4 linked regions of the Arabidopsis thaliana genome follow. The protein of the gene in region 1 interacts with the protein of each later gene in a biochemical or structural test. Each region holds a gene or a part of one and is shown in the gene's direction. Other genes may lie near its edges. The genes, in order: SHP1, CAM8, AT2G41090 and MPK4.

Evidence for each region.
Region 2: the proteins of SHP1 (region 1) and CAM8 form a complex in vitro, tested with the Arabidopsis thaliana proteins (one large-scale study listed by BioGRID).
Region 3: the proteins of SHP1 (region 1) and AT2G41090 form a complex in vitro, tested with the Arabidopsis thaliana proteins (one large-scale study listed by BioGRID).
Region 4: of the proteins of SHP1 (region 1) and MPK4, one has a biochemical effect on the other in vitro, tested with the Arabidopsis thaliana proteins (one large-scale study listed by BioGRID).

What each region holds. Positions count from the first base shown.
Region 1 is NC_003074.8:21,734,606-21,743,362, forward strand, and holds SHP1 (K-box region and MADS-box transcription factor family protein), read left to right. Parts: upstream 1-3,554; 5' UTR 3,555-4,170; intron 4,171-4,277; exon of another isoform or gene 4,278-4,526; coding exon of another isoform or gene 4,527-4,544; coding exon 4,545-4,771; exon of another isoform or gene 4,772-5,311; intron 5,312-5,660; coding exon of another isoform or gene 5,661-5,698; intron 5,699-5,867; coding exon of another isoform or gene 5,868-5,904; intron 5,905-6,069; coding exon 6,070-6,151; intron 6,152-6,304; coding exon 6,305-6,366; intron 6,367-6,495; coding exon 6,496-6,736; intron 6,737-6,819; coding exon 6,820-6,861; intron 6,862-6,969; coding exon 6,970-7,161; downstream 7,162-8,757. Other genes in the region: AT3G58770 (uncharacterized protein), read left to right, coding at 1-578; GAUT15 (galacturonosyltransferase 15), read right to left, coding at 7,850-8,134, 8,227-8,529, 8,617-8,757. UniProt on the Arabidopsis thaliana protein: Probable transcription factor. Interacts genetically with TT16/AGL32 in a partially antagonistic manner during flower development. Is essential for the coordination of cell divisions in ovule, seed coat development and endosperm formation.
Region 2 is NC_003075.7:8,393,135-8,400,726, forward strand, and holds CAM8 (calmodulin 8), read left to right. Parts: upstream 1-4,577; 5' UTR 4,578-4,665; coding exon 4,666-4,744; exon of another isoform or gene 4,745-4,828; coding exon of another isoform or gene 4,829-4,853; coding exon 4,854-5,011; intron 5,012-5,432; coding exon 5,433-5,513; coding exon of another isoform or gene 5,514-5,561; exon of another isoform or gene 5,562-5,571; intron 5,572-6,724; coding exon 6,725-6,862; 3' UTR 6,863-7,092; downstream 7,093-7,592. Other genes in the region: GLP9 (germin-like protein 9), read left to right, coding at 8-546.
Region 3 is NC_003071.7:17,131,297-17,137,797, forward strand, and holds AT2G41090 (Calcium-binding EF-hand family protein), read left to right. Parts: upstream 1-4,050; 5' UTR 4,051-4,526; coding exon 4,527-4,602; intron 4,603-4,705; coding exon 4,706-5,066; intron 5,067-5,183; coding exon 5,184-5,322; 3' UTR 5,323-5,703; downstream 5,704-6,501. Other genes in the region: EEL (Basic-leucine zipper (bZIP) transcription factor family protein), read left to right, coding at 1-588, 675-746, 832-912; AT2G41080 (pentatricopeptide (PPR) repeat protein), read left to right, coding at 1,306-3,258; AT2G41082 (uncharacterized protein), read left to right, coding at 3,529-3,633.
Region 4 is NC_003075.7:563,677-572,134, forward strand, and holds MPK4 (MAP kinase 4), read left to right. Parts: upstream 1-3,240; 5' UTR 3,241-3,542; coding exon 3,543-3,715; intron 3,716-3,846; coding exon 3,847-3,976; intron 3,977-4,044; coding exon 4,045-4,182; intron 4,183-4,371; coding exon 4,372-4,704; intron 4,705-4,784; coding exon 4,785-4,968; intron 4,969-5,040; coding exon 5,041-5,213; 3' UTR 5,214-5,471; coding exon of another isoform or gene 5,472-5,888; 3' UTR 5,889-6,046; coding exon of another isoform or gene 6,047-6,190; 3' UTR 6,191-6,328; coding exon of another isoform or gene 6,329-6,400; 3' UTR 6,401-6,565; downstream 6,566-8,458. Other genes in the region: BPS3 (BPS1-like protein), read left to right, coding at 1,471-2,517; AT4G01380 (plastocyanin-like domain-containing protein), read right to left, coding at 5,472-5,888, 6,047-6,190, 6,329-6,400; AT4G01390 (TRAF-like family protein), read right to left, coding at 6,566-6,714, 6,798-6,964, 7,053-7,335, 7,438-7,586, 7,680-7,809, 7,895-7,919. UniProt on the Arabidopsis thaliana protein: The ANPs-MKK6-MPK4 module is involved in the regulation of plant cytokinesis during meiosis and mitosis. Essential to promote the progression of cytokinesis and for cellularization (formation of the cell plate) during male-specific meiosis.

The sequences.
Region 1 (8,757 bases):
CTCTGCTACGTGATACTTCAAAAGATCCCTTTCCTTTGTTTTGTGAACCACTTGTCAGCTTGGCTTCTCAATCCAGAGCATATGCTGTTCCTGATTCAGAATTTCCTTCCACAATCCTGAATCCATGTTGCTCGCTCGCGTCTTTTCCTTTGTCTGAGAAGAATCTCAACTTCCATGGGTCTGGTTTAGGGCCACCAAACAGTTTCACACTCAGCCAGCAACAACTACCTTTTCCATATGATTATAACAATGTTGATATTGGTCTCCTACCTGATGCTAGAAAACGATCTTTCGGATTGCCTTTATCGAGTACAAATTCTGCTAGACGGTCACAGACTCCTTGGGCTCAAAGTTCATCTGAGAACTCTTGTTCTGAATTGTCTTTCGTCAACCCCAGCGAGCAACTAACGTCCTTCTATGGGTCAAGGTTATCTTCGTCCATAAACGTTGGAACTACAAATAAGCGGGTAGCACCCGTAGAGGAGTATCCAATGAAGAACCATAAAGTCCCCAAGTTGCTGCCAATGCAAGGTGGCTTAAATTATGTTAAAGAATTTCTTTGCAGGCCAGCAAATTAGGAAATCACTAATCTAGGAGTCTAAGGGTATATAGCCTTGTATTGTTTGAACCATCCCTTGTGTGTTTTATGAATTATTTGGTGTTAGTGCCTTACTCGGAATGAATTGTTGTACATGATTGCCTTGTTTAAGTCGTACAACACCAAAAGCTTCTAGATCCGTATAAGCATGCGAGTCCCCTCTAGAAATTCTGCGTTTGTTCTGTATACTACTATGATTCTATCTGGAATATCTGGATCATCTAGCTAGCAATTAAAGAACATAAATCGGCATCAAGATAAATTTGTTCTTAGTGTCATGTATCAATTTGGAATCCATAAACATTCTTATATGCACGTTATTCAAGATCACCAGGAAGAATCTTGAGTGAGATAGTAAAATAAAGAATATACTCCAACAGACCCAAAACAAAAAAGGATCAAACTGATGCAAAGAAGATCTGATTCTCATTTGGTCTTTTGTTTTTGGGTTTTATCCTCATTTGGTCTTTCTTCACAAATCCTTACTTATGTGTCTCATTTTTTTCATTTCTGTGTTTTTATCTAAAACACTTTTAAAGAAGTTTTTGAAAGAAGTACTTATATGTGACTTTTTTATTAAAAAAAATAAGGTTTCTCAATTTTTCCCTATCAAAAGAATTGGAATCTCTAGATTTTAGATAAAACTTATTATGCATATATAAAAAAAAATTAAAAAAACAACGCATTTAGACTTTGCAGTAGTCGAGATGCATACAAAATTAACCAGAAGTTGTATTCAGCAGTGGTCAATTTTTTTATAAAAAAAGAAATTGCCAATGATTAAACTGAGAGCTTGTTACCCGTTAGAGTACTTCTAAATGGCTTTAAACTTGCATCTAACAGAAATTAAACTAGAGATATTATTAGCTGGTGAAAATAACCATAATTTTTTCCCGCAAAGATGAAACAAAACATAAGTCCTTCCAAATGTTTGAAATGACTTGGCACAATTTAAGATAAGTTTTGACTTTTGACTAAATGATTAATAGTAAATGCAATTACTAATTACAACGAAAGACAGGGAGGTATGGAACAAAGAGAGTTTCCATTTGTAAACGAATAGTTAATGTGAACTGTGACAAGGGTTGTGGATGATTATGACTATTCGTATGATTAGTCACCATTCCTTAATTTCTTGTTCCCTCAATTAAGTTGTCTTCTCATCATTTTTTTTTAAAATATTCATCCTGAATATAACCAACAAACAAAAGGTTCGAGTATCTATAAATTCCGCAATGCAATCTAAATTGGACTACTAGTGAGATCTGCAACAGTGAAAAGAGAAAACAAAATGGACTTGAAGAGGTTTTGACAATGCCAGAGATAATGCTTATTCCCTAATATGTTGCCAGCCAAGTGTCAAATTGGCTTTTTAAATATGGATTTCTGTATCAGTGGTCATATTTGTGGATCCAACGTATTCATCATCAAGTTCTCAAGTTTGCTTTCAGTGCAATTCTAATTCACACGTTTAACTTTAACATGCATGTCATTATTATTACTTCTTCACTAAGACACAATACGGCAAACCTTTCAGATTATATTATCTCCATAAATGAAATAATTAACCTCATAATCAAGATTCAATGTTTCTAAATATATATGGACAAAATTTACACGGAAGATTAGATACGTATATTAGTAGATTTAGTCTTTCGTTTGTGCGATAAGATTAACCACCTCATAGATAGTAATATCATTGTCAAATTCCTCTCGGTTTAGTCGCTAAATTGTATCTTTTTTAAGCCTAAAAGTAGTGTATTCGCATATGACTTCTCGTCCTAACTTTTTTTTTAATTAACAAAAAAATCGAAAAGAAAATAATCTGTTAAATATTTTTTAAGTACTCCATTAAGTTTAGTTTCTATTTAAAAAATGCTTGAAATTTGACAGTTATGTTCAACAATTTTGAATCATGAGCGATGTCTAGATACTCAGAATTTAATCAAGATGTCTTATCAAATTTGTTGTCACTCGAGGACCCACGCAAAAGAAAAGACTAATATGATTTTTATTTGGTCTGGATATTTTTGTAGAGGATGAAACTAAGAGAGTGAAAGATTCGAAATCCACAATGTTCAAGAGAGCTCAAAGCACAAAGAAAAATGAAGATGAAGGACTAAAGAACAATAAGCAACTACTTATACCCTATTTCCCATAAAGGATTCAGGTACTAGGAGAAGTTGAGGCAAGTTTCACATGCAAGTCCCTGTCATCATATATCCATATTATACCACACCTACGTCTCTATGTGTATTTCTTGGCATCGACTTTCTCATGAATGATTCAAATTTTCATTTATTTTTACAATTTAATTCACCTAAGATTATTATGCATTTCTCATCATTGGTACATTTTCTGTATAGCGTATTTACATATATGAAATAAATTAAATATGTCCTCACGTTGCAAGTAGTTAATGAATGTCCCCACGCAAAAAAAAAATCCCTCCAAATATGTCCACCTTTTCTTTTTAATTCCAAAATTACCATAAACTTTTGGTTTACAAAAGATTTCTAGAAATTGAGGAAGATATCCTAAATGATTCATGAATCCTTCAATAATCTGAAGTTTGCGATATTTTCCGATTTTCTTCAAGAGTTGCGATATTTGTAATTTGGTGACCTTAAAACTTTTTTTGATAAAGAGTAAAACGTTTTTTCTTAAAAGTAAAACTTGATTTTATGTTTTAGGGTTCTAGCTCAACTTTGTATTATATTTCTTGCAAAAAGAGTTCGTTAACTGCATTCTTCAACACTATAAAGTGATTATCAAAAACATCTTCATGAACATTAAGAAAAACAATATTTGGTTTCGGTTAGAGCTTGGTTTTGCTTGGCTTGATTCACATACCCATTCTAGACTTTGGCATAAATTTGATACGATAGAGAGCATCTAATGGTAATGCAGAAGGGTAAAAAAGGAAGAGAGAAAAGGTGAGAAAGATTACCAAAAATAAGGAGTTTCCAAAAGATGGTTCTGATGAGAAACAGAGCCCATCCCTCTCCTTTTCCCCTTCCCATGAAAGAAATCGGATGGTCCTCCTTCAATGTCCTCCACCTACTCTTCTCTTCTTTCTTTTTTTCTTTCTTATTATTAACCATTTAATTAATTTCCCCTTCAATTTCAGTTTCTAGTTCTGTAAAAAGAAAATACACATCTCACTTATAGATATCCATATCTATTTATATGCATGTATAGAGAATAAAAAAGTGTGAGTTTCTAGGTATGTTGAGTATGTGCTGTTTGGACAATTGTTAGATGATCTGTCCATTTTTTTCTTTTTTCTTCTGTGTATAAATATATTTGAGCACAAAGAAAAACTAATAACCTTCTGTTTTCAGCAAGTAGGGTCTTATAACCTTCAAAGAAATATTCCTTCAATTGAAAACCCATAAACCAAAATAGATATTACAAAAGGAAAGAGAGATATTTTCAAGAACAACATAATTAGAAAAGCAGAAGCAGCAGTTAAGTGGTACTGAGATAAATGATATAGTTTCTCTTCAAGAACAGTTTCTCATTACCCACCTTCTCCTTTTTGCTGATCTATCGTAATCTTGAGAACTCAGGTAAGGTTGTGAATATTATGCACCATTCATTAACCCTAAAAATAAGAGATTTAAAATAAATGTTTCTTCTTTCTCTGATTCTTGTGTAACCAATTCATGGGTTTGATATGTTTCTTGGTTATTGCTTATCAACAAAGAGATTTGATCATTATAAAGTAGATTAATAACTCTTAAACACACAAAGTTTCTTTATTTTTTAGTTACATCCCTAATTCTAGACCAGAACATGGATTTGATCTATTTCTTGGTTATGTATTCTTGATCAGGAAAAGGGATTTGATCATCAAGATTAGCCTTCTCTCTCTCTCTCTAGATATCTTTCTTGAATTTAGAAATCTTTATTTAATTATTTGGTGATGTCATATATAGGATCAATGGAGGAAGGTGGGAGTAGTCACGACGCAGAGAGTAGCAAGAAACTAGGGAGAGGGAAAATAGAGATAAAGAGGATAGAGAACACAACAAATCGTCAAGTTACTTTCTGCAAACGACGCAATGGTCTTCTCAAGAAAGCTTATGAACTCTCTGTCTTGTGTGATGCCGAAGTTGCCCTCGTCATCTTCTCCACTCGTGGCCGTCTCTATGAGTACGCCAACAACAGGTACGCTTCTCCTACTCTATTTCTTGATCTTGTTTTCTTAATTTTAACTAAACAAGATCCTAGTTCAAATGATAACAAAGTGGGGATTGAGAGCCAAGATTAGGGTTTGGTTAATTTAGAAAACCAGATTTCACTTGTTGATACATTTAATATCTCTCTAGCTAGATTTAGTACTCTCTCCTCTATATATGTGTGGGTGTGTGTGTAAGTGTGTATATGTATGCAAATGCAAGAAGAAGAAGAAAAAGTTATCTTGTCTTCTCAAATTCTGATCAGCTTTGACCTTAGTTTCACTCTTTTTTCTGCAAATCATTTGAACCTGATGCATGTCAGTTTCTACAATACACTTTTAATTTTGACGGCCCATCAAATTTCCTAGGGTTTACTTCAGTGAAAAAAATTGGGTTCTTGACACGATTTAGCATATATATATAAAAATAGGGGATGATCAAGACTTATGTAACCTCTGTCTGGTGAAACTAGGGACAAAGTCTACTGATGAGTTGTCACTAGGGATCCATTTGATCATTTAATCCCAACAAAAATGAAACAAAATTTTGAGAATTTATATGCTGAAGTTTTTCAACCCTCTTTTTTAAATAACTTTATATTATGTAGATTTGTATTTAGGGTAATTTGTCCAACTAGAAGTCCTAAAAATCAATAAACACACGGATGACTTTGTCTAACATTGTTATCAGTCATCAAATGTAAAATTGTACAAATAATGAAATTAAAGATTTAGTCTCTTTTATTTTTTTTGTTTAGGGTGTATATATATATATATATGTATATTTGTTGCATTGATATATCAATGAGAGGGAGAGAACTCAGAGAAGTGTCGGAAATTAAAATGGTACGAGCCAATTGGAATCTCTGGCATTCTGAGCTTCATTTATTTGTTATTAGAAAAAAAAAAAAAAAAAAGTCCTTTAAAGATACCTTCATGATGACATTGAATCATGTAATATACACGATACATGGTCTAATTCCTCCTCAAACCCTAATTACCAATTTCGAAACCATAATATTTACTAGTATGTTTATATATCCTTACTTTAAGACATTGTTTGTTTATAATACCTTGTGAATTAAGAAAAAAAAAAAAACTTGTGGATCTATTCAAGCCATGTGTTAGAATAAATTTATAAATTTTCTCCTCGTACTGGTCAGATATTGGTCCAAACTCCAAAGCCTTCCCTTTTCAGGAAAAAAAACATTTCGAAATTAACTCTAATTAATCAAGAATTTCCTACAATGTATACATCTAATGTTTTTTCCGCGATCTTACTTATTAGTGTGAGGGGTACAATTGAAAGGTACAAGAAAGCTTGTTCCGATGCCGTCAACCCTCCTTCCGTCACCGAAGCTAATACTCAGGTACCAATTTATATTGTTTGATTCTCTTTGTTTTATCTTCTTCTTTTCATTATATATATGATCAACAAAAAATATAACCTACAAAAAGAGAGAGTTCTTGGAAATGCATTGAAACGGTTTCGTTATGGTGTTTGAATACATGGATTTTTGAAGTACTATCAGCAAGAAGCCTCTAAGCTTCGGAGGCAGATTCGAGATATTCAGAATTCAAATAGGTAATTCATTAACTTTTCATGAACTCTTCGATTTGGTATTAGGTCACTTAATTTGGTGTCGGTCCAAAAGTCCGCTTGTAGTTTTCTTTAGAAGTTGTTTTGTTTAATGTTCATGTTTACAAATTGAAGGCATATTGTTGGGGAATCACTTGGTTCCTTGAACTTCAAGGAACTCAAAAACCTAGAAGGACGTCTTGAAAAAGGAATCAGCCGTGTCCGCTCCAAAAAGGTAAAATCTACGTTGCTCTCTCTCTGTGTCTCTGTCTCTCTCTCTATATATAGTCCCTTAGTTTATATAGTTCATCACCCTTTTGTGAGAATTTTGCAGAATGAGCTGTTAGTGGCAGAGATAGAGTATATGCAGAAGAGGGTAAGAACGTTTCTCCCATTCCAAGTAATTAGATCTTTCTTCGTCTTTGTGAGGGTTTGAGTTTTCCCATAAATCATGTGTAGGAAATGGAGTTGCAACACAATAACATGTACCTGCGAGCAAAGGTTAGCCACGTTCTGTTCCAAATCTTAATCTCAATATCTACTCTTTTCTTCATTGTATAACTAAGATAACGTGAATAACAAGAAAACTTTTGTTTTTGGGTTTAATAGATAGCCGAAGGCGCCAGATTGAATCCGGACCAGCAGGAATCGAGTGTGATACAAGGGACGACAGTTTACGAATCCGGTGTATCTTCTCATGACCAGTCGCAGCATTATAATCGGAACTATATTCCGGTGAACCTTCTTGAACCGAATCAGCAATTCTCCGGCCAAGACCAACCTCCTCTTCAACTTGTGTAACTCAAAACATGATAACTTGTTTCTTCTCCTCATAACGATTAAGAGAGAGACGAGAGAGTTCATTTTATATTTATAACGCGACTGTGTATTCATAGTTTAGGTTCTAATAATGATAATAACAAAACTGTTGTTTCTTTGCTTAATTACATCAACATTTAAATCCAAAGTTCTAAAACACGTCGAGATCCAAAGTTTGTCATACAAGATTAGACGCATACACGATCAGTTAATAGATTTTAAGTGCCTTTTAATATTTACATATAGTTGCAGCTTCGATTAGATCATGTCCACCAAACACTCACAATTAGAGACAAGCAAAACTATAAACATTGATCATAAAATCATTACAACATGTCCATAAATTAATTATGGATTACAAAAATAAAAACTTACAAAAGATCTATAATGTGATAAATTAATGTGTAGCTATAATTAAACAAAATTACATTTTTTACTATAGTTACTACTTGAGATAATGATCTCAAAAAGAAGCTTCATACGCTTAAAGTCTAATTTGATACTGTCCTTTATCTAAATTACTGTTTAGTATATGGACATGAGAGAAATATGAGCAGAGGCTGAAGGCTTAAACCTTCTTCCCTCTGTTCTCTCACACAGCCGCAAGTATTGGCTTCATCACTCAGTTTTCTCTTTTCTTTATATTTGTTTTCTAATCTGTTTTTTAGTCTCAGTTCATGATTTTGCATTTTCTAACGAAGATGTCGGAGGAATTTACGTATCTATACCAAAGAGATCGTACCTCAGGGTTACTGATCTCTAGCCACGGTTTTGCTGGACCGCTGAAATGTAAAACCGAAGCAGATTTCAGAATCTCTTGAGGGGATTTTACGGATCGAGAACCTAGTCCAGCGACGTGCCATGATGGTTCAAGAGACTGTGTAAGTCCTTTGAAAGCAAGTAATGTCGGTGGTAAAGCCCCTGGTTGCCATAATTGTAGTCCTGACCTAACACTCTGCATTAAAATTAAACATCAGAATTTGTGTAACTAGTTAGAGTACGGAATACATAACGCAAAAACTGAGATCGTTCTATATTTACACTCACGAGTCTTAGCCATGTAGAGTAAGCTTCAGTAATATTGGTTTGTCTCCAGGCTTTGAGATCAAAGACATTCATACCAGAAAGCCAAGCACAGTCTTCTTGAACTAAGTTTGATGAGATCAAAGGATGTGAGAAGTTGAAATAGTCTTTGTATTTTCTTCCGGGGCAACAGTTGTCTCCGCACCACGAATCAACGACAGCACCAACAACTTTACCGTTGAGATCCGTTTCCCATAAAGACGAAAGATCGCTCTGTACTACTACATCATCATCCAACAACACTATCTTGTTGAGATCTGGAAAAAGCTGCGCGGTCCAACAAAAAGAAGATTCGAAATGATAAATGGAATGGTTTTTAAGCTCAGAGAAGAGTTGAGAGGAGAGAAACTTTACCTTGGGAATGTAAATGCGAAGATGGTTCAAAAGGGCAAGGCAGCTAGGATTTAGAGCTTGCAAGGACTGCTCATGAGTACCCTCAACAAAACTAAAATCAGAGTCTTTCAAATTTTGATAATGTCGTCTCCAAATTAAGCG
Region 2 (7,592 bases), on another chromosome or scaffold:
TGTCTAGTGTTTGTGAATGGAAAGTTTTGCAAGGATCCAAGGATAGTTTTCGCGGATGATTTCTTTTTCTCGAGCCTCAACAGACCTGGAAATACAAATAACGCGGTTGGGTCCAACGTGACAACCGTCAATGTTAACAACCTTGGAGGACTAAACACTCTTGGTATCTCACTTGTTCGTATAGACTATGCACCCAACGGTCAGAACCCACCTCACACCCACCCACGTGCCACCGAGATCTTGGTTGTTCAACAAGGAACTCTACTTGTAGGGTTTATCTCATCAAACCAAGACGGAAACCGTCTTTTCGCCAAAACACTCAACGTGGGTGACGTATTTGTGTTTCCAGAAGGACTCATCCATTTCCAGTTCAACCTAGGAGGAACTCCAGCAGTTGCAATCGCTGCTTTGAGCAGCCAAAACGCAGGTGTTATCACAATTGCTAACACAATATTTGGGTCTAAACCAGATGTAGACCCGAATGTTCTTGCAAGAGCATTCCAAATGGATGTTAATGCGGTCAGGAATTTACAAGCCAGGTTCTAATAATGTAATAAGAAATATAGTCTTTGGAATTACTTTATTAATACAAGCATGGTTCAGCCGTACTGTGACATGTATATGATGTTGGTTGTTGTTTTATCTTAATAATATTTTGGTCATTGATTAATTAATTTTCTATTTGTGTTAAACTATTAAGCATGTTGTGCATAACCTTCGTGTTTCTTCAGGAAAAAGTTAATTCTTGTATTATAAAATTAACTAAATATAATTATAAATTCATATTACTAATAAAAAACATGAATTTAGATACACAAAAACTAATCTATATGTGTGGGTAACGAAATGTTTTATAGTAACAAAAATGTATATCATTCTTTTACCAGTATTTTAGATTAAATTTAAATAGAAAACAAAGAATAACATGTGACCTACTCATGTATTTTCACAAAAAAAAGTTTAAGTATTTTTATTATATCCAGAAACAACAATAATTTATGAACTTTACAAGAATGATGATATTATTTTTGCTTCTATGAAAACAATTATTATTATTTTTGGTGGGAATGAAAAATAACTAATAGTTTAGAAATACCTAGAATGTTTAGAAAAATTTAACGATAAGTTTGACCCTCCTAAAAAATATTTATGTCTCCGCCATTGGGTGGAGAAGAGATCAGAGTTACTGTGTGACGATAGAATAATAATACCCAAACAAGGAGAGTTAACAATAAATATTTCTTAGATTGATTTCCCCAAATGGATAAAGCAGCGTTACAGAATGTATGCAAGGAAAATCCAAAGTATTTCAATACCCAATCTCAATAATGCAAATGTGAGCTTCTCACTGAAATTTTCTTCTCTCAAGCATTTAAATAAAATAGTGCAAGAAAGAATCATCAAGAGTTAACTATTTCCAAAGACGTAAAAAAGTTTTGATTTTCATTTTGCCAGTAAGTAGCAAAGTATCGTTTTTTTCACATATTTGTTTAGCAAACCATAGTCCAAGACCCAAGAATGAAAATGTCTTGGTTGAGAAAATCAGCAGATTAATAGGCTTGTTCTTAGACGCATAATCTAGCAAATGCTTTACGCAATTAAGCAGATATATAGATTTTTATCGAAGCTTTCCCCAAAACATAATCTCTCAAATACAAAATCATATATAACCGCTGGTTTAACCTACATTTTTTATTAGTTACTGAAAATTCTATACAGTGGTTACAAATACGAGAGGTTTTTTGGGATTAAAAAAACTCAAGAGTATAATCTGAATTTTAACCTATAATTTTAGTGGCAAATATAAAATTTCTTCTCTCATAGTCTCATGTTATTTGTTATGTGAATAAGCTAAAGCTCATTTTCAAACTATGCATTCTATTCTTTAAAAAAAGAAAGAGAAAAACCATGCATCATATTTCACAAATATCTATCAGTTCTAATATCATGTCGTGTCGTTTTTCTTAGTCAGAATATCTAAGTTGACGCTTCACATTGAAGACAAAATCAATCCTTTTAGGTTTCCATTGATAGAATGCTTAAAGCTTACAACTTGAGTTTCAGGATGTTTAAATACAAAGGTGGAGACTTGGCTAAACCTTAGAGAGATTTGACAGATGTCATACATCAGGTTGAGTTTTCTAAATCAAGGGTTGAGAAACGATTCTCGAGCTTAATGTTGAACTGCTTTCCCATACAAGAAGTCGTTATCTCCTTATTGCCAGCTCCACTTTTGTCATTACTTGAGGAAACTTCTAAGCTCTGTTTGCTTGAACCAGATGACCGTTGCTTCCACTTTTGTTTCTTGGGCTTGGTTTGTGCTGAGGCCCATCAGTTTCATTTTCCTCTTTACTCCATTAGCCGAAAGGACAACGTACTTCGTTGTCTAAATATTTTGTTGTAATTGCAATGACATAAAACAAATATTCGTTAATTTCCCTATGTTAATTCTTTTAATTAAAGGGGTCAAAAAAGTATTACTAAAGTGAGCTATTTAAGGTTGCAAATATATTTTATCTATATTTTAACCTGAATTATTTTCCCACCTAGGAAGAGTAAAAATGCAAAGATTACTAATGAAGAAAAGCCCCATAATTTTGTTTTTTTTTTTGTTTTTACAATTCGTTTCTAGAAACTCAAAATATGAAAAGTTGAATCGTTTCAAAAAGAAATTGCTGGTTCGTTAATTTGCTACGTCTAATCGTTTATTTATAATTATTTTCTTATATCGTGCTTATGAACTTATAATGCAACGTATGATACATGCATTTCCCCTACTGTTCGAATACCAATTGCAGATTCAATGCAAGTCAGCAAGTATCTCCTAAATTATTTCTTAGCAGTAGATATTCTTCTTAATGATTACAATCTTTTAGCAGTAGATATTCTTCTCAATTATGATATGTGACGTGGAATATATATTTTCATCTGTTATATAAAAACAGTCGCAATTATTCAAACAAAATGTATAGGAAAATAAATAAGTGGTGTGAATATGTGATTCAAATGAATCTGTAATATTCTCAAAATTCCTACCTCCGTGAATTCTAGAAAATGTCGTCGATCGGAACAAATTTGAAAATAGAATGATTTGTGTGGATAAACTTTTAAATCATTGTGTGGGAACGCACGGATTCTACAAAATCATGCTGGCCAAGTTAAGCTTCATAGCCTTAATGCATTCACAGCTATGGACAGTCGAGTTGTACGTTAATATGTCTTCTATGGACAGGAGCGGGTAAGATGGCCAATGAGGTCATTATGTTGAGATGTACGTAGACAAATTTCAATGTTGTTCTTTCTGAGTATTAAAAGAGTGTGATCACTGATTTTGAAGTCAGAAAAAACAAAAGAACATGTTTAAAGCGTCAAGTTTATCGCATCGTCTCGGTTCTCAGATTGTGTATTTGGTAGCTGCGGTGGTGGCTAAATTGCGGTCTCTTTTGTTGACATCACTTGTATTTCTTGACTAGTTATTTGTGCTACCTGGTTTTGAATGTGTCTTGCTAGTGCGGTTCTTCATAATTGAAGTTAGTGCTGCAATGAGTTATCACCTCTTGTTGCGTTTGTTTTGTGTTCTAGAAGAGTTAGTAAGATCGATGGTGTTCGATGTGGTTATGAATCGCATAAATCATGCTCTGCTCTATCCGACTTTGGGGAAAGAAATTGGTAGATGGAGCTTGCATCGTTCGCATAATTTGGTTCTTGAGGTTCCATATTATTGGAAAGCTTATGGACTTGAACAACGAGTCACTGTCACATGACGCGAGAGGAGTTTATGCCAGAGAACTTTGAGTTTCTACCGTTGACGGCTCATCCTTAGACCTCCAATTCAAAGTTTTTAATGCAAATAGTTTAGCATTATGCTTTTTTCAAGCAGTAGTTACCCTTCTTCTTAAAAAAACAAAAAACAAAAAACTTAATTATAAGATAAAATTTCAAAATAGTCATATTTTTATCTAACTCGTTCGGCTTCAACGCTTTGGTTGAGTTGATTGACCAAAACTTGTGAATCACGATGTATGCTTCTATGTTTTATTTTTCTTGTTATAGGATCATTTGTATAGGCTTAAAATCTTTTGATTGTAAATTTATATTTTTATCATTTCAATAAAATATTTTTATTTTTATTTAAGAAAAAACAGAAAAAAACAAAAAACAAAAGAACATAATTGTTGCGTACAAAATGAGTGGCTAATGGGTTTGAACTAGACAGAAAAAGTTAGGGACGTTTTATCAAAGACTATTGTAGGCTTATACTTGTTTGTTTTAGGACTTGTCGTTCTATGTCTATTTGTAGTAGTCTCTACTTGTTAGAATAAGATGATTTTTTCAAAACTAATTTTGCACAAGTGATTTGAACTTTAACAAACAGCGACAATTATTAATTTATTATATGGGATTCAGCCATGTGACTAGAATTAAATTGTTCAATCCAAGAGTTCTAGACCCAAAAAAAAAACAGTACTGCCCTTTCAATTTAAAATAATTTGAGAATCAATTAAAGAGCTTAAAGTAGTTGAAAAGTACATAAGTCCAATGTAGAAAAGGTCTTGTCACAACTCTACATATAGACCATAAATCAGAGATTTAAGCACTTCAAACCTTGAGCTCCCTCCTCTCTCTCTCTCTCTCTCTTTGTCTTCAAAATATTCTCAGAAAACAATGGAAGAAACAGCACTGACAAAAGATCAGATCACTGAGTTCAAAGAAGCCTTTTGTCTCTTCGACAAAGACGGCGACGGTTCTCTTCCTTTCTCTAGATGGTCATATATAGAATAAAGATAATAAAGACGACGACTAATATTATGTTGTGTGACATTTATTTATGGTTGTTTGGAATCCTTTAATAGGTTGTATAACGGTGGAAGAACTTGCAACAGTGATCCGTTCGTTGGATCAGAATCCGACAGAACAAGAACTTCATGATATCATCACTGAGATTGATTCTGATAGCAACGGCACCATTGAATTTGCTGAGTTTCTCAACCTCATGGCCAAAAAACTTCAGGTTCCACTCTCTCTTGATCTCTCATGCTTATTTATTTCACAACTAATTACATCAAGTTAACGTAGCCACGTACAAACCAAAAAGTTACATCAAGTGAAATTTTTTTGTCTATATGATTTCTTATATATTATGTTATAGGTCCCTTATTGTAACTCTTTGATATGGGATCCTAACAGGTTCTAGTCAAAATGGAGCTGTCTCATTCATTATGCTTCTAGTTTATTAAAAACTCTTAAGAAATATATTGGAAATATTCAGCTTTTGTATTACAGCAAAATCTGTTTTGCTTTCGGTTTTTCACTACGAATAAATCTGATTTGTGAAGAACTAGACACGTAAATGTGTATAATGTAAACAAAGACTTTTATGACAATAGTTTTTTTGTATGTTAAGTTGTTGTCATGATCATGTGATGGTTTAGGAAAGTGATGCGGAGGAAGAGCTGAAAGAAGCATTCAAAGTCTTTGACAAAGACCAAAATGGATACATCTCTGCCAGTGAGGTCCGTGACTCTTACTCTCTTTTTTTTCTCTCTTTATTACTAATTTGATATATGTGTCAATGTGTATATTTAGTTAGATATATGCTTGACTTATTGAGAACTTAAAAGGGAACTTATGCGGAAAATCCTCTTTAAGAACTTATAAAAACAAATTAGTTCGATGCACTGGATTGCGTTTTGTACAACGTTCTCCAATAATACCATGTACGGTCTAACTGTGTTTTTATTTGGTTATAAATGATTAGAGCTATAATTATTTAGATTTTTGTATCTACTAGAAATCCTTATCTAAATTTTGGTTATTGTCAAATTTAGTTTAGGTACATGAACCAATTTCATAAATGTCTTCTTTGCTTAAGTGGTACATGCTCTATATCTCTAAAGTGTCGTCAAATACAGGCTAAGCACAATAATTATGAGCATAGTATTTTTATGTAACCACTTGGACCAATTAATTCTGCATTAACTAGAAAAAACGAGAAATCCAGCTAAAACACACTTTCACATATGTAGAATCAATGACAAATATCAGACAACAAAGCCAGACGATCTTCCAATTTAAAGAGATCCATAGTTGTCTCATTTATGTTCTAAAACATTTTTTAACAAGACATGGCCATTTATTTATTTGATTTTATATTTTCGAAAGTCTGTTTTCCATCGTGAGGGCTTAGAGCTAGCTGGCATTGTGAATCTTTAGAGAATAACGAAGAGGAACAAAAGAAATTTTAATACAAAGTAGTTAGATAGAGTAAAATGCGTTTGATTTTATTGGTTTATTTGACAGGAGGGCACATGTTTCACCTAGTTTAATTAAATATATATACCTTTCTTTACATCCTCAAAAGTTACATTAATGCAGACACCTTTTTGCATGCAACACAATTCAATTTATTAATTTGGGGTTTTCTATATCGATTGGTCAAAACTTAGGCTAAAACCAGCTGTATTTTGCTTACAACTTAAAAAAAAAAAAACTAAACAATTGTATGAATTTGGTTTATTCATATTTTTCGTACCGAAATTAGAAATTGTTCAAGTTAGGCCGTTTGACCTACTATATTGTATTGCATATTCAAATGGATAATAAACAATTATTATTCTCTGTACAGGGTCAGACCCGTCTGATTAACATGCACAACTTAATTTACAATAATTAGACTAACAATTACGTTAATTATTTATTAATTTGAAAAGCTTTGTTATTGCAGTTGAGTCATGTAATGATAAATCTAGGAGAAAAGCTAACAGATGAAGAAGTTGAACAAATGATAAAGGAGGCAGATTTGGATGGTGATGGCCAAGTCAATTATGATGAATTTGTCAAGATGATGATCAACATTGACTGATTACTTTTTCTAAATCTATTTATTATATAAGCCAATGATCCTTAATTACCTTGTTAGTTGTTACTACTTCGTGTTCACACCATCTCAACAAATTCTCCATTATTCCACATTCATTGAAATTTTCAGATCCAGTTTTGTTTTATCACTTGTGAAGCTGTCAAATCCAATATAATCTCTATATTATAGCTTTCTCTATATGATTTTGGAATTCTGTTTATACATAGTTTGTTTCTATATTATAGCTTTTTCGATATGATATTTTTCTTCTTCTTGCAATCTTTGATTATAGGTGTTTCAATATGATTTTGGAATTATATTTAGCGAATGAATACGAAACACAATTTTTTTTGTGGAAAATGCAAAAAATCTTAAAACAAAGCAGCATATTGAGTTTATGTGAATGCTAAAGTATTTGGATATTATTTTCCTCATGAAAGTGAGGAGTTGAACTCCTTCACTCAAACGAAAATATCTAATGGCTAAACCACTAGTCTAGACACTTTAAAGAATAATTGAAAATGATTTATGTAAAAAAAAAGAAAAGTGAGACTGTGAGAAAGCCATGCCCATATAATATTTAGTAAGAAAATAATAATAAAATTACAGGTAGTAAAAAAATTTCCACACTTTATCAAAAACCCCTCAAACAGAAAATCCCAATTTAAGTATACAGAAAAGAGAAAACCCAATCCACACTTTCACTTATTTCCTCCCAATTTCTCAGAATAAT
Region 3 (6,501 bases), on another chromosome or scaffold:
ACGAGGCAGAACTCTCTCTATAGCTTAAAGCTCCATGAGGTTCAAACCCACTTAGGAAGTTCTGGAAAACCACTAGGAAGCATGAACCTTGATGAGCTTCTCAAGACTGTCTTGCCACCAGCTGAGGAAGGGCTTGTTCGTCAGGGAAGCTTGACGTTACCTCGAGATCTCAGTAAAAAGACAGTTGATGAGGTCTGGAGAGATATCCAACAGGACAAGAATGGAAACGGTACTAGTACTACTACTACTCATAAGCAGCCTACACTCGGTGAAATAACACTTGAGGATTTGTTGTTGAGAGCTGGTGTAGTGACTGAGACAGTAGTCCCTCAAGAAAATGTTGTTAACATAGCTTCAAATGGGCAATGGGTTGAGTATCATCATCAGCCTCAACAACAACAAGGGTTTATGACATATCCGGTTTGCGAGATGCAAGATATGGTGATGATGGGTGGATTATCGGATACACCACAAGCGCCTGGGAGGAAAAGAGTAGCTGGAGAGATTGTGGAGAAGACTGTTGAGAGGAGACAGAAGAGGATGATCAAGAACAGAGAATCTGCAGCACGTTCACGAGCTAGGAAACAGGTTAAGAACTTGACATTGTGTTTTTACTTAGTTAATATTTGTTTGTTTGTTGTTAGTTGGTCTAGTCATCACATTGAAACTTGCAGGCTTATACACATGAATTAGAGATCAAGGTTTCAAGGTTAGAAGAAGAAAACGAAAAACTTCGGAGGCTAAAGGTAAAAATCCCATCTCTGCAGCTTGCTTCATGATCTAGTGTCGTTTTAGATTTAGTGGTTTTCTTTAATCTGATTATAATGGCAGGAGGTGGAGAAGATCCTACCAAGTGAACCACCACCAGATCCTAAGTGGAAGCTCCGGCGAACAAACTCTGCTTCTCTCTGATCCTAAAGACTCTTCTTTCTTTCTTCTTCTTTGTGTTGGTTTATATCAGACCGCTTTGTTCTTTGTATATTGTGTAGACTTTATTGACTTTGAACAGCATGTCTTTATAAACATTTCTTGAGTGTATTCCTCTTTTGCAGCTAGTTCAAACTTTTTGAGTACAAACACTAGTTCAAGTATGAATTCGACAATAGTTTTAGTACCTTACACAATTAAGCAATAGATTGATGGTTATGCTAAACCGTTTTTGATACTTGGTTACTAATACTTATTGGGCTTCTGATTACGGCCCAATTAAATCGAGTGTCTAATTATTCGTTCCTTCTTCTTCTTCGAGCAACGACAGTCCCTGAGAATCCAAATCGGAAACAATCTCCGGCAATTCAATAGTAAATGCGTTGCTCAGTTTCCTCTGTTGTTCGTCCACTATCAGTAGATCCTGCGACAGCCATAGCTACTTTGTGCTCAAAGGGTAACCTTCGAGAAGCTTTCCAGAGATTCCGACTCAACATCTTCACAAACACTTCTCTCTTCACCCCTTTTATTCAATCATGCACCACCAGACAATCTCTTCCGTCCGGAAAGCAGCTCCATTGTCTTCTCGTCGTCTCCGGATTCTCCTCCGACAAGTTCATATGCAATCATCTGATGAGCATGTACTCCAAGCTTGGAGATTTTCCTTCCGCTGTTGCAGTATATGGACGTATGCGTAAGAAGAATTATATGTCATCTAACATACTCATCAATGGGTATGTTCGTGCAGGCGATTTGGTAAATGCCCGGAAGGTGTTTGATGAAATGCCTGATAGAAAGCTCACAACTTGGAATGCTATGATTGCTGGTTTGATCCAGTTTGAGTTTAACGAAGAGGGTTTGAGTTTGTTTAGGGAAATGCACGGATTGGGGTTTTCGCCTGATGAATATACTCTTGGTAGTGTTTTTAGCGGATCTGCTGGGTTGAGGTCAGTGTCTATAGGGCAGCAGATTCATGGCTACACGATCAAATATGGGCTTGAGTTGGATTTAGTTGTTAATAGTTCGTTGGCTCATATGTATATGAGAAATGGGAAATTGCAAGATGGCGAGATTGTTATAAGATCAATGCCGGTTCGTAATTTGGTTGCATGGAATACACTCATCATGGGGAACGCGCAAAACGGATGTCCTGAAACCGTGCTTTATCTGTATAAGATGATGAAAATCTCAGGTTGTAGGCCGAACAAGATCACATTTGTAACTGTGCTCAGTTCTTGTTCTGACTTAGCGATAAGAGGTCAAGGTCAGCAGATTCATGCGGAAGCTATTAAAATTGGGGCTAGCTCTGTCGTAGCTGTAGTTAGTTCATTGATCAGTATGTATTCAAAATGTGGGTGTCTTGGAGATGCAGCTAAAGCTTTCTCGGAACGTGAAGATGAAGATGAAGTGATGTGGAGCTCAATGATTTCTGCTTATGGGTTTCATGGACAAGGCGATGAGGCAATCGAGCTGTTTAATACTATGGCAGAGCAGACGAACATGGAGATAAACGAGGTCGCGTTTCTGAATTTACTTTATGCGTGTAGTCATTCTGGCTTAAAAGACAAAGGGCTTGAGTTGTTTGACATGATGGTGGAAAAATACGGGTTCAAGCCAGGTTTAAAGCACTACACTTGTGTGGTGGATTTGCTCGGTCGAGCAGGCTGTTTGGATCAAGCCGAGGCAATAATAAGGTCTATGCCAATAAAAACAGACATTGTTATATGGAAAACATTGTTATCTGCGTGTAACATACACAAAAACGCAGAAATGGCACAGAGAGTCTTTAAAGAGATTCTTCAGATTGACCCTAATGACTCTGCTTGTTACGTCCTGCTTGCAAATGTTCACGCCTCAGCTAAGAGATGGCGCGATGTATCAGAGGTGAGAAAATCGATGAGAGATAAGAATGTGAAGAAAGAAGCGGGAATCAGCTGGTTTGAACACAAAGGTGAAGTTCATCAGTTTAAGATGGGAGATCGCTCTCAGTCTAAATCTAAAGAGATCTATTCATACCTGAAAGAACTGACTCTGGAGATGAAGCTGAAGGGATACAAGCCTGATACAGCGTCAGTATTGCATGATATGGATGAGGAGGAGAAAGAATCAGACTTGGTGCAGCACAGCGAGAAACTAGCGGTTGCATTTGCGCTCATGATATTACCTGAAGGTGCACCGATTAGAATAATCAAGAACTTGCGGGTTTGCAGTGATTGCCATGTTGCTTTCAAATATATATCGGTGATCAAGAACCGAGAGATCACGTTAAGAGATGGTAGTAGATTCCATCATTTCATTAACGGAAAGTGTTCTTGCGGCGATTATTGGTAGCTGGGCAGTTAAAGTATGCTATGACTCTCTGCTTCAGAGTCTTTCTGGAGTCTTAAGCACTCAGATTGGATCGGGAAGCCATCTGGGACGAAAGCATTCAGCAGCAAGGGTAAAATTACACTGCGGGTAGTAGCTTTGTAGTCTACCTTGAGATTGCTCCTGCCTGTGTTATTCTTGAGTCAGGAACATGAAGTGGTTTGCTGTCAACTTTACTTACTCAAGCCATCTCCGCAAGGTAGAAACTATGGTTCGCGTTATTTCGTATGTACCATGTTTTTGGTCGTTTGTGTAGTTTCTAACCTTCCACACCCTTGGCTTGCGATTCTTTCCAAAGCAGAGATGTTAGATCAGAGGATGGAGTGGGTTCTCAAGTAGAATGCACTTGCGAATCCCTCAGATCAGATTTTTCATAGGTAAAGTTCGTTAACTTCAACAACACCACTTTAGTAAACATGTGATAATCAATCGTCATAAGCATCTTCGATTCATTTTTATCTTATGCAAGTGTTTGCTTTATTATGATTTGTTAAGTTTTGCATAAATACGGACGTTGAAGCACTTCCCAGAACTCATGAGTGTTTTTATAAACTATTTATTAAAAGTTAGTATAAGAAAACTATAACATAAAAGTAAAATATAATTTAGACAAATGTAGCGATTGGTCCAGTTACTCATCCAAAATTCCAAATGAATCTTCCACCGTTGATAATTCTATTCCATTGTTTTCTTCTGTAGAAGACCATATATTATTAAGTCTCTAGTCCATTGTCAATAAATGGAAATACAAAAAAAAAAAAAAAAAAAAAAAGAAGAAGAAGAAAAAGACAGCATTTAATGAACGAAAATAATATTAATGAATTTGGAAGAAGGAACGAACCAACGAGAAAAATCAACGAAATAATTTAGACAAATGTAGCGATTGGTCCACTACCCATCCAAAAGTCCAAATGAATACTTCACCGTTGATAATTCTATTCAATTGTTTTCTTCTGTAGAAGACCATATATTATTAAGTCTCTAGTCCATTGTAAATAAATGTTTCTTTCAAATAAATGGAAATACAAAAAAGAAAAGAAAAAAAAGACAGCATTTAATGATGATAACGATTTGGAAGAAGGAACCAACCAATTAGAGTAACAAACCAAGGAGGCGACTCACATGAAAGCAAAAGCTGACATGGCAGTGAATTCAGTTTTATAAAAAAGGCTTCAAGGCCGAGAGTTCGTAGTACAAACTCTTCTCTCAGTCATCACAGAAAATAAAAAACAATGGCGAATAAGTTCACTAGACAACAGATTTCAGAGTTTAGGGAACAGTTCAGCGTATACGACAAGAATGGTGATGGTATGGTTCATCGTCTCTATTCCTCTAATCGTACATATTGGATCCTGAATCATCTTCAAAGCACTGAAAATGACTAACACAAGTCCTTGATTACTTCTTGTAGGTCACATTACCACAGAGGAGTTCGGTGCCGTGATGCGTTCCCTCGGTTTAAACCTGACCCAAGCTGAGCTTCAGGAGGAGATCAACGATTCGGATTTAGATGGTGACGGAACCATCAATTTCACTGAGTTCTTGTGCGCAATGGCTAAGGACACTTACTCTGAGAAAGACCTCAAGAAAGATTTCAGACTCTTTGACATAGACAAGAATGGTTTCATCTCAGCTGCTGAAATGAGATATGTGAGGACTATCCTCCGGTGGAAGCAAACTGATGAAGAAATCGATGAGATTATCAAGGCAGCTGATGTTGATGGTGATGGTCAGATCAACTACAGAGAGTTTGCCAGGCTTATGATGGCCAAGTGAGATTTAAACAACTTTTCCGCTTCCCCTTTTTTTACTACCTCTTATCTAATTTCATAAAGAATGTTCCTCTCTTGTTCTTAAATTTCATTCTGAGTTCTTGTGTGTATGGCTAGGAATCAAGGTCATGATACTAAATATGACACAACTGGTGGCACTTTGGAGAGGGACTTGGCGGCCGGGGTTGCCAAAAATATCATCGCAGCGCCAATGACCGACTTCATCAAAAATTTGTTCGAAGCGTTGTTTTCTTGAAATGGTACATCAGTAACTTTATGCCATTAGGGTCTGGCTGGTATGTTAGATCTCTCTAAAAAGGCGTTTGATCTTTGAAAATAATTTCTATGTAATAAATTTATTGTGTTACCATCTTTTCTTGCATGCAATTTATTAAAATGAGTTTGTAATATGGTTTCAGTATCGAATATAATTGGGGTATCAATGTATCTTTTGAGAAAAACATTTAAAACGTAGCAGAACTAATTATTGAAAACTGGTAGCATTACTAAAAATTGATCTAAATCGGTTAATGATTTGGCACATACAGTGATCAAATCAGCTAAGCCTCATATCTCACCGTCCCAGAGTTCTTCAAGACTCTTATAAGGACTCATCTAATGAATAATGACATGCCTCGCACCAACCTGCCCTGCAACATTGAAAACACACGTCTACAATTTCGATAACCCAAGTGTTTTGAGCAAAACAAAGGACGCCCTTTGACCCATTTGGACTACAATGTGTGGAAAATTACTGCATGTTCAATATCAGAAAACTTGGATAACATGTCTTCGATATGGGCTTTTCTTATTTTGTACCCGTGTAATTTCGCTGGCCCAAAATCCAAAGCAACAAGGGTAAATTTGTATGCAGTACATGTGGCATGTTGGGTCATATGGAAACAGGTCACAAGACTCAGATTCTTTACATTGCGGCGGGTAGTAGTAGCTTTCTAGTCTACCTTGAGATTGCCCCTGCCCGTGATTCTTGAGTCGGGCACAGGAAGTGGTTTTCTGTCAACTTTACTTGCTCAAGCCATCCCCGCAAGGTAGAAACTTCTGTGGTCTTTCTCGTTATTTCTTATGTACCATGTTTTTGGTCGTTTGTGTAGTTTCTTCTAACCTTCCACACACTTGTCTTGCGAATTCCTTCCACAGCAGAGATGTTAAATCAGGAATATTCAGGATGTAGAAACTTCTCTGCTCTTTCTCAAGTAGAATGCACTTGTGGAATCCCTCAGATCAGATTTCATTGGTAACGTTCGTTAACTTCAACAACAACACTTTACTAAACATGTGCTAATCAATTGTCATACGCTTGTATTTCTTCGATTCATTTTTATCTTATGCAAGTGTTTTCTCTATTATGATTTATTTAGTTTTGCATAAATAAGGACACTCCTTCGGAGTCAGTATAAGAAAACTATAACCTAAA
Region 4 (8,458 bases), on another chromosome or scaffold:
TGTAAGTATTATCATATGGTTTTGATAAAAGTTTGTATTAATATTTTTTTTTTGTGTTAGTGAATTATATAATAGTATATATATCATAAACTTATCAGTTATCATAATATTTGAAAATAAGATGTGTGGAAAATAATGTAAAAAGTTTGCGAAAAGTTTTAATTAAGATTGGTTTTTTTGGGTTAGTGAATTATATAATAGCATAGATATCATAATAGTTACATTTTATTGGAAAATTTTCTTTTGTCCTTAAAATTATCTAAGAGATTGAAGCCTTGAAGGTATCTTTTTAAATGTTTTAAAATTATTAGTGTAGTTTCTTAAGGAAATATATTAAAATCTAAAATATATGATGATATTAAATTAATTTTTTCTTTTTCAGAAATATCTCAAAATATATTACCAAAATTGAATAAATTTATATATATACAATTTCGAAATCAATAGCCTGATTTTTATGGAAACTAAATTCATTTAGTAGTAGTTAATTTACTAAATTACCCATGTAAAATTTCATTTAGTTAATTTTAAACTACCCTTATAATGTTGTAGTTCACAAAATACTTCCCAATTAATAGTATAAATACTTGTTTTCAATTTTATACTAAAGAAGAAAATTTATAAATAATATCAAATTACATCTTAAATATATTCAATGATATAAATTAGTTATATTTGTTTATATAATCTATCATATGCTGCCTCTCAGATTCATCGAAGGCTTTCCAAAGATTTCATCTACTTTAGCGCTAAGAAATATATCAAACTCACTTGTCGCTTTGACCCAATAAAAGCCCAACGCGGCCCAGTAATATAAGCTTGAAAAGCAACGTGAGAATGACAAATATACCCTCAAAATAAAGAATTGTTTTAAAGACGAAACCAGAAGTTTATAGCCCTTGGATTGATAAATATCCGGCGGCTATATTTACCACTTTTTCTTATAGAGCGTTATGCTGACAAATGTCAACGATTGAGTGGAAAAATCTACTATAACTGAGACATCAGAACCGTAAACGTGTGTATTTGTCTCTATTCTTCGTCACTGCCGCGTAGGTGAAACGGAAAAATCCTTTACAACTACCAAAACCAACGCGGGACTTAAAGTAGCGATTGCGTTGATCTGCAGCACACGGCACGTTTCTTTGATTCCTCCCTATAAGAACGCGTTTCAAGTTTTATTATCATACACTAAACCCATCTCCTATTTATACTTTCTTTTGGGTTTTTTTCTCTCCTTCATTGAAGTAGCGTAACATTGAAGTAAGCGGTAACATTTCGGAAGAATCTCTTTCTTTAGGTGAGTTTTCGTTAATCTTCGGCGAGTTTGGTTAAAGTAATGGTTTTTGTTCTGTCTTTGCATTCTTGAGATCTATTGATTCGGATTTTGGATTCAGAACAATGTTATTGGTTTGCTCATTGTTTCAGATTACTAACTTTGTTTCTTCTTTCTGTGTGTTTTCAGTTGATATGAGCCAACAACGTACACGCTCTCGGAACCCGTTCAAGATTCTGTTTACGAAGAAGAACAATGCTCGATTATCGCCAAAGCTTCTCTCACTGTTGAACAATTTCGAGACTAACTTGACGGTATCGATTAGAGAACTTGTACCAAAGGATAAGAATGATATCGTTAGTGTTTCTTGGATGATACAAGCCATGCAGTCTCTTTGTGAGACACACAAGAGTATCAGGACGCTCGTGAAGGATTTAGAGGTTCCAGTATCGGATTTGGAGGAGAATTTCATTTATATCTTCTCTGACTTTAGCTTGAAGCGGGAACTCTGCAACGCCTTTACCTCAGAGATATATCATTTGGAACATGGCAATCTATTACTAAAGTTTGCTTTTAGTAAGCTGGAGACAAACAGTGGCAATATTCTTCAGCGTTGGAATCAGCACATGGTTTCCAAGAACCCGAGTATCGAAAACTGGGGCGCGGTTTTGAGTAGGCTGGTTGAATCGATGGATCATCATCATCATATCTCCAAGAAGGGGAAGAAGAAATACTCTGCGGAAGGAAAAGTTCTCTTACGAGTTTTATACGGTGTAAAGGTCAAGACTTTATACATATTCAGCGTGTTTGATGCATCGTTCTCGGGTTCTTCCAAGAATCTCTTCTATCTAACCATTCCAAAGGAGATGGAGGAGCTTCCATGGGTTCAAGCTTTCATGGAACTGCAGAACACTATTAACCCGGAGATCAAAAACACATTTTTATCAGACGGATTCACGGTTATAAAAGATCTCGAGGCTGTTGAAACCGGTGTGAAGAAGCTTTACACAGCGGTACAAGAAGGGTCGGTTCCTATTTTGTTAGTGGAACCATTGGAGAAGTCAGTGATAGAACTTTCGGAAAGGTTTGAGCTAGTCTCCAAGGAAACACGTTGCTTGTCGAAGATGGTGATCTCTGCCCGAGACGCATTGTTGGAGAGCCTGTGGACGAAATGCGCAGAAGAGCTAGGAGTGACATTGCCAACGATGGTTAAAAGTGTTAATATAGAGGAAAAGAGCTAAGACTTGTTTGTGAATATAGAGGAAACATGTAATTATGGTATCGTTGATGTTAAGTAATAACAAATGCAGATAAAAATGAGACTTTAAAACGCTTCAAATATTGATAACTCTCTCTTTTCAATCGGTGCTAAGCTATAACTACATTTTCAAGTTAGTCAGAATTGTGCTTTAGTTCATCTTAGTTGATAATGGATAAGTGATGGGTTTGCTTGAGGCCCATTGTAAATCACTAGACCAAAAAAAATCAGTGTTATTTTCATGGTTACATGATCAATCAATCAAAGCAAACCAGATATTCTAGCTATTAATAATAACAAATGCACCAAACTTCAACATGGTTATATAAGTTGTTTAACCATGATTTTTTAAAAAAAATCAAAATGATGTCATTTTATCTTATACATAAACCTTTTTTCACTAATGGTTTTGGAATCAAAGGTCAGTTTTATGGTCAAAAACAATTTGGCCGCCCATTGACTTGTACACCACCAATATACCAAGTCGTACTTAAATTCTTATTGGAGAAAAGTTGTCATCTAGATTCTTTTAAACTTTATAATATGATATCAAGAACATTCCTACATGAAGTCATTAACTTGTTCCATTCTACAAACTTCATCAATTACATTTTTTCGGCAAAAGTCATAACCATATCTAATCTCTACTTCGTGGGATAACGCGATTTAGTAGAAGCAAACTCCAGTAAACAAAACTTAACCAATTGACTAAAAACACTTACCCGTTCCTCAATTACTTAGAGACACAATCATCGGATATACCCAACTCGATACCATAAACAAAATTGAAAATTGACATTACAAAGAAAAAGAACAAAAACCAAAGAAGAAGACGCAAACCCGGTTTAAGGGTCACGGGTGACTCGAGAGGAGACTTCCTCTTTACCGTTCAATAAAAAAAAAAGGGTAAAGGTAGAGACTTTATAACGAAATGTCAACACCCATCTTCTCGATTCCTCAATTTCTCTAGGGTTCTTCGTTTTCGTTGTTGTGAGGAATTTTGCTCCGATGTCGGCGGAGAGTTGTTTCGGAAGCTCGGGTGATCAAAGCAGCAGCAAAGGAGTGGCTACTCATGGTGGTAGCTATGTTCAGTATAATGTCTATGGCAATCTCTTCGAAGTTTCTAGAAAGTATGTTCCTCCTCTTCGTCCTATCGGTAGAGGCGCTTATGGAATTGTCTGGTGAGTTCCAAAATTAATCAGATTGGGTTTTTGAAACATGTAATGTTCACTTCTGGGGTTCTTAGATTTGGGAATTAGGGTTTTGGAATCTGTTGTTATTATAATAACTTGTGTTGATAATTGTTGATCAGTGCTGCTACAAACTCAGAGACTGGAGAGGAGGTAGCTATCAAGAAGATTGGTAATGCTTTTGACAATATTATCGATGCTAAAAGGACTTTGAGAGAGATTAAGCTTCTCAAGCATATGGATCATGAAAATGTACGTGTTACTAATCATCAGCATCTCTGGTTTTTTTTGTGTGAATCTTATATTGGTTTATTGTGCAGGTGATTGCTGTAAAGGATATAATAAAACCACCGCAGAGAGAGAACTTCAATGATGTTTACATTGTTTATGAGCTTATGGACACTGATCTCCACCAAATTATTCGCTCTAACCAACCCTTAACTGATGATCATTGTCGGGTATGCATCAATCTCCATCTTGCTTATATCTAGCAGCTGAATCTTCTGTTTCTACTTTAGAAGCAGCTGTTATTGTGTTAGAGCATCTGATGAGTATTGCTTGATACTTTATAAGTGAGAGCTAATAAGGATTTCGTTTGTTATGCTTTGAAGTTGTGTTTAGTAATTAGTTTCGATTATGTTTTGCAGTTTTTTCTGTATCAGTTGTTGCGTGGGCTCAAATATGTTCATTCAGCTAATGTATTGCATCGAGATTTGAAACCTAGCAATTTGCTCCTGAATGCAAATTGTGATCTAAAGCTTGGGGATTTCGGGCTTGCGAGGACCAAATCCGAGACTGACTTTATGACTGAATATGTTGTTACACGTTGGTATCGAGCTCCAGAGCTGCTACTTAATTGCTCTGAATACACAGCAGCAATTGATATTTGGTCTGTCGGTTGTATACTCGGTGAAACAATGACACGAGAGCCCTTGTTTCCCGGTAAAGATTATGTTCATCAGCTTAGACTCATCACTGAGGTAATCTAGTTTAGTATGTTTCATCCAAAGAATCACCACTTAGTCTCTCTTCACGGTATTAATGAATCTTTGGAAAGCAGCTTATAGGATCTCCTGATGACTCAAGCTTGGGATTCTTAAGAAGTGACAATGCAAGAAGATACGTTAGACAGCTTCCACAGTACCCTAGACAGAACTTTGCTGCTAGATTCCCAAACATGTCGGCTGGTGCAGTCGATTTGCTGGAGAAAATGCTTGTTTTTGATCCAAGCAGACGCATCACAGGTGAGTTATATTTTATATAACTGCTTCTCTGTTTCTTCGGCTATTTTCTGAACATGTTTTTTGTGTGTGTAGTTGATGAGGCGTTGTGCCACCCATATTTGGCGCCGCTGCATGATATCAACGAAGAACCGGTATGTGTGAGGCCGTTCAATTTTGATTTCGAGCAACCTACTTTGACAGAAGAGAACATTAAGGAGCTTATATACCGTGAAACAGTCAAGTTCAATCCTCAAGACTCAGTGTGAGAGAAAGAGAGAGAGATATATATCCTTAAAAGGAAACTCATCAAAATGCTATGTTTTGTTTTGCTCTGCTTTTGTTATCAAATCTCTGATAAGTTTGATAATATGTCTGTAATTTGAATAACATCCTAAAAAATTGGAAAAAAAGAAAAGAACAACCTTTGAGCTGTGTTTTGCAATAGAGTGTATTTAAATTTCCTTACTTTTTAGTCGAAAGAAAATACAGAGAAGTCTTAACTCTAATTACATCCACTAATTATCTTAATGATGGGGTTGAGGTCCGAAGGTGCGTAACCATCTGTTGAAGCGGTCCATAAGTGACAACTCTATCTTCTTCGTCGGAACATTGGGGACAGGTACGGCTTTGGTGAGTGGTCCGACCACGACTCGTAGCTTAAGCCCAGCGTAACAGTGACCTGGAGTCTTAGAGCTAATGAAATAATGGACTCCTGGTTCTGTGAGCGTGACGAGATCGTGGCCTGTCATGTGCACGGCTACGGGAGAAATCGGGTAGCAGGATATGAATTCAAGGTCCCCGCTGATCTCTAAGACGTCGTTGACTTCGTTGTCGTATTCGAAAAGAAGACTGTCTCCGATCGGAAACTGCGTCTTCTCACTCCATCTGTAATAAAAGTAACTTTCTTGCGGAACACTCCATCCCTTGGAGCCACACCAACTCTGTAGATATTTCAAGGAGGAAGGATCTTGCTCGGTGGTGTTGGAGGAATGGGACGTGACGAGTCATGAACGACAAGAATGTCGAGCTTCTGTCCCGATGCGCATTGAGCATGGTTTGAGCTGATGAACTAGTGAAAACCTGGTTCCGTGAGGGTTACGATATCGTGTCCAGGGTTGTAGACGGCTTTAGGAGAAGAAGAGTCGCAGAACTCGTATTCCAAAGCGCCGGAGACTTGAGTGACGTCGTTGAGGTTGTGATTGTGTTCGAAGATCAAAGAATCCCCAACGTGGAACACAAGTTTCTTTTGGCAAACAAATTATGTCTTTTCTTTTGGCGTTTTTCTCATATATATAGGTAGTAAAAGCAATGGAATGCTCACGATTCCTTGAAAAAAAAACAAGATCTTATTTGCAAAACAAAACTAACAAGAAACAATAACGATTGAGAACCAAGTCTCTATAGTTGATAAACTGGGCTTATGAAATCTTGTAGATTGTCTTGTTATGCCCATAAACTGAAAATACACGCCAAGCACATCATCTTCATCTCCAGCAACACGTACGTCGACACACATCACAAGTCATTACGGCATCAGTAGCTTAGTTACATAATAGTACTATATATATTCTCCAGCATTTTATTCATACGTTATAAATATTTCTTGCTGATTATATAGCTAACAGTAATTAGAGACGGAAATGACATCAAAGTCAACTCCCACATAAAGCTTATCCTTCACCAAATAAGGGTCATCAAGTTCCCCTAGAGGCATGAAATCCGCAAAGCCATGGCGGTCATCAGGTTCTGCACCAAGCCAACCCGAAACTATACGTACCAGGAGAAAAAGATTAGTACTGTATTTAACCATCATGCATCACAAGACTTTCCAAAACATAATAAACACATACTTGTTTTCTCAACATGATTCCTGCTAACTTGATCCAATACACGCAGCTTGAACCTCGCGTAAGTTTTAGTCTTTGGTGCATTATTGACAAACCCTAGTGCCGATAGATACACAGAAAATGATTTGTCTTTTTCACCCATAGACCCTCTTGGATGAACTTTAATTCTCCTGATCAAATATATTGTGATGCATTTTTATTAGTATTATATATAAGTTGTGTTATGTTTTTGGGAAAAAGGAGGAATATAATATCAACCATTTCCGGGTTCCAACGACAAATTCATTAGACTGATGAACGTTTCCAGGGTTGAAGGACGAGAACATGGTCATCATCCAAGTGACTCTGTGATTAAGAGGCTTCTCTATTAAGCTAAAACTTTCCGCTGTTCCGGGTTTAGCAGGTTCAATCCCATGGAACTTGACACCAAACATACAACAATCTCCAATAAGGAAACCATTTTTCTTAAGATCAACAAGAGATATGAACTCACGAAACCCCTCACTACCCAGTTCTTCATTGGTTTCGTATTCATCTCTTCCTGCACATCAACATATATGGACGCCGTATCAAACCTATATACACACAGATGTATGCGTGATTGAATGAAGCAAGAGAGAGAGAGAGAGAGAGTGAGAGAGACCGTGAGTGTGCCATTTTGGCTCAAGTTGACTGACGGCAAGAAGCTCATATGTAAGCGTATCATATACCGGAGCTTGATTCATTAAGTAGAGGGAGACATAATGTGTCCCCTTAGCATTTGTATGGCCATTTGGGTGCACAGAGAGTTTCCTGTTACCAATCAAGTCGTTAAGAGGATGATCACCATCTTTGTTTTCTTTTGTATGTCAATAAGCATAATAACAAGATTATAAACAACTTCACCATTTGTGACCAGCGAGATCGAAAACAGAGGACTCGACCTTTTCGATTCCATGCTTTCTGAGTAAAGAGAAATGGTCTATCTTGAACATGTGAGCTGTTGCGTGACGTACTTTGAACAGTCTCACCATTTCTGTCAAGAATGAGAAAATTATTAAAACTTGGAACTCATAATGATACTAAGAGATCATCAGACACAACATAAGTTATGTTTTCACCTTCAAGCGAGATTGGTCGCGACATTGTAAGAAGCTGCAAATGATTTAGTACTGTGTCTTGTTAGGTGTAAAGAGACTTGTACATATATATCTTGAAGATGCAAGTCTATTTATACAAGGACAAGAGTTGTCTTTATTTATTTATCGGGATCCCATGTTTTGCTCATCTCTCTGTTTTGCCCCCAACATTTATCGAATCGAACAAAACATCTTTTTTTTTTTTTTGGTAATTGAACAAAGCATCAATATTGATACGCATTTATTTATACGTCACATTTGAGCATATGTTCGTAAAAATCGACCTAAATTCTCAACTCAAAGAAATACTTTAACATTTATTATTATTATTCTTTTCAAATTACTACTCCCTCTGTTTCTATATAAATGTAGTTTAACGGTTTTTTTTTTTTTCAATTTAAGTGTTGTTTTCAACTTTCTATGCAAATAATAAATGTATTTAATATTTTTTAACCAATTATATTTAATCATCTATTTTTTTATTGGTTGAATTGGTTATAATAAATGAAGTTTTTATATAAAAGAGGTATATTAAATGAGATTTTT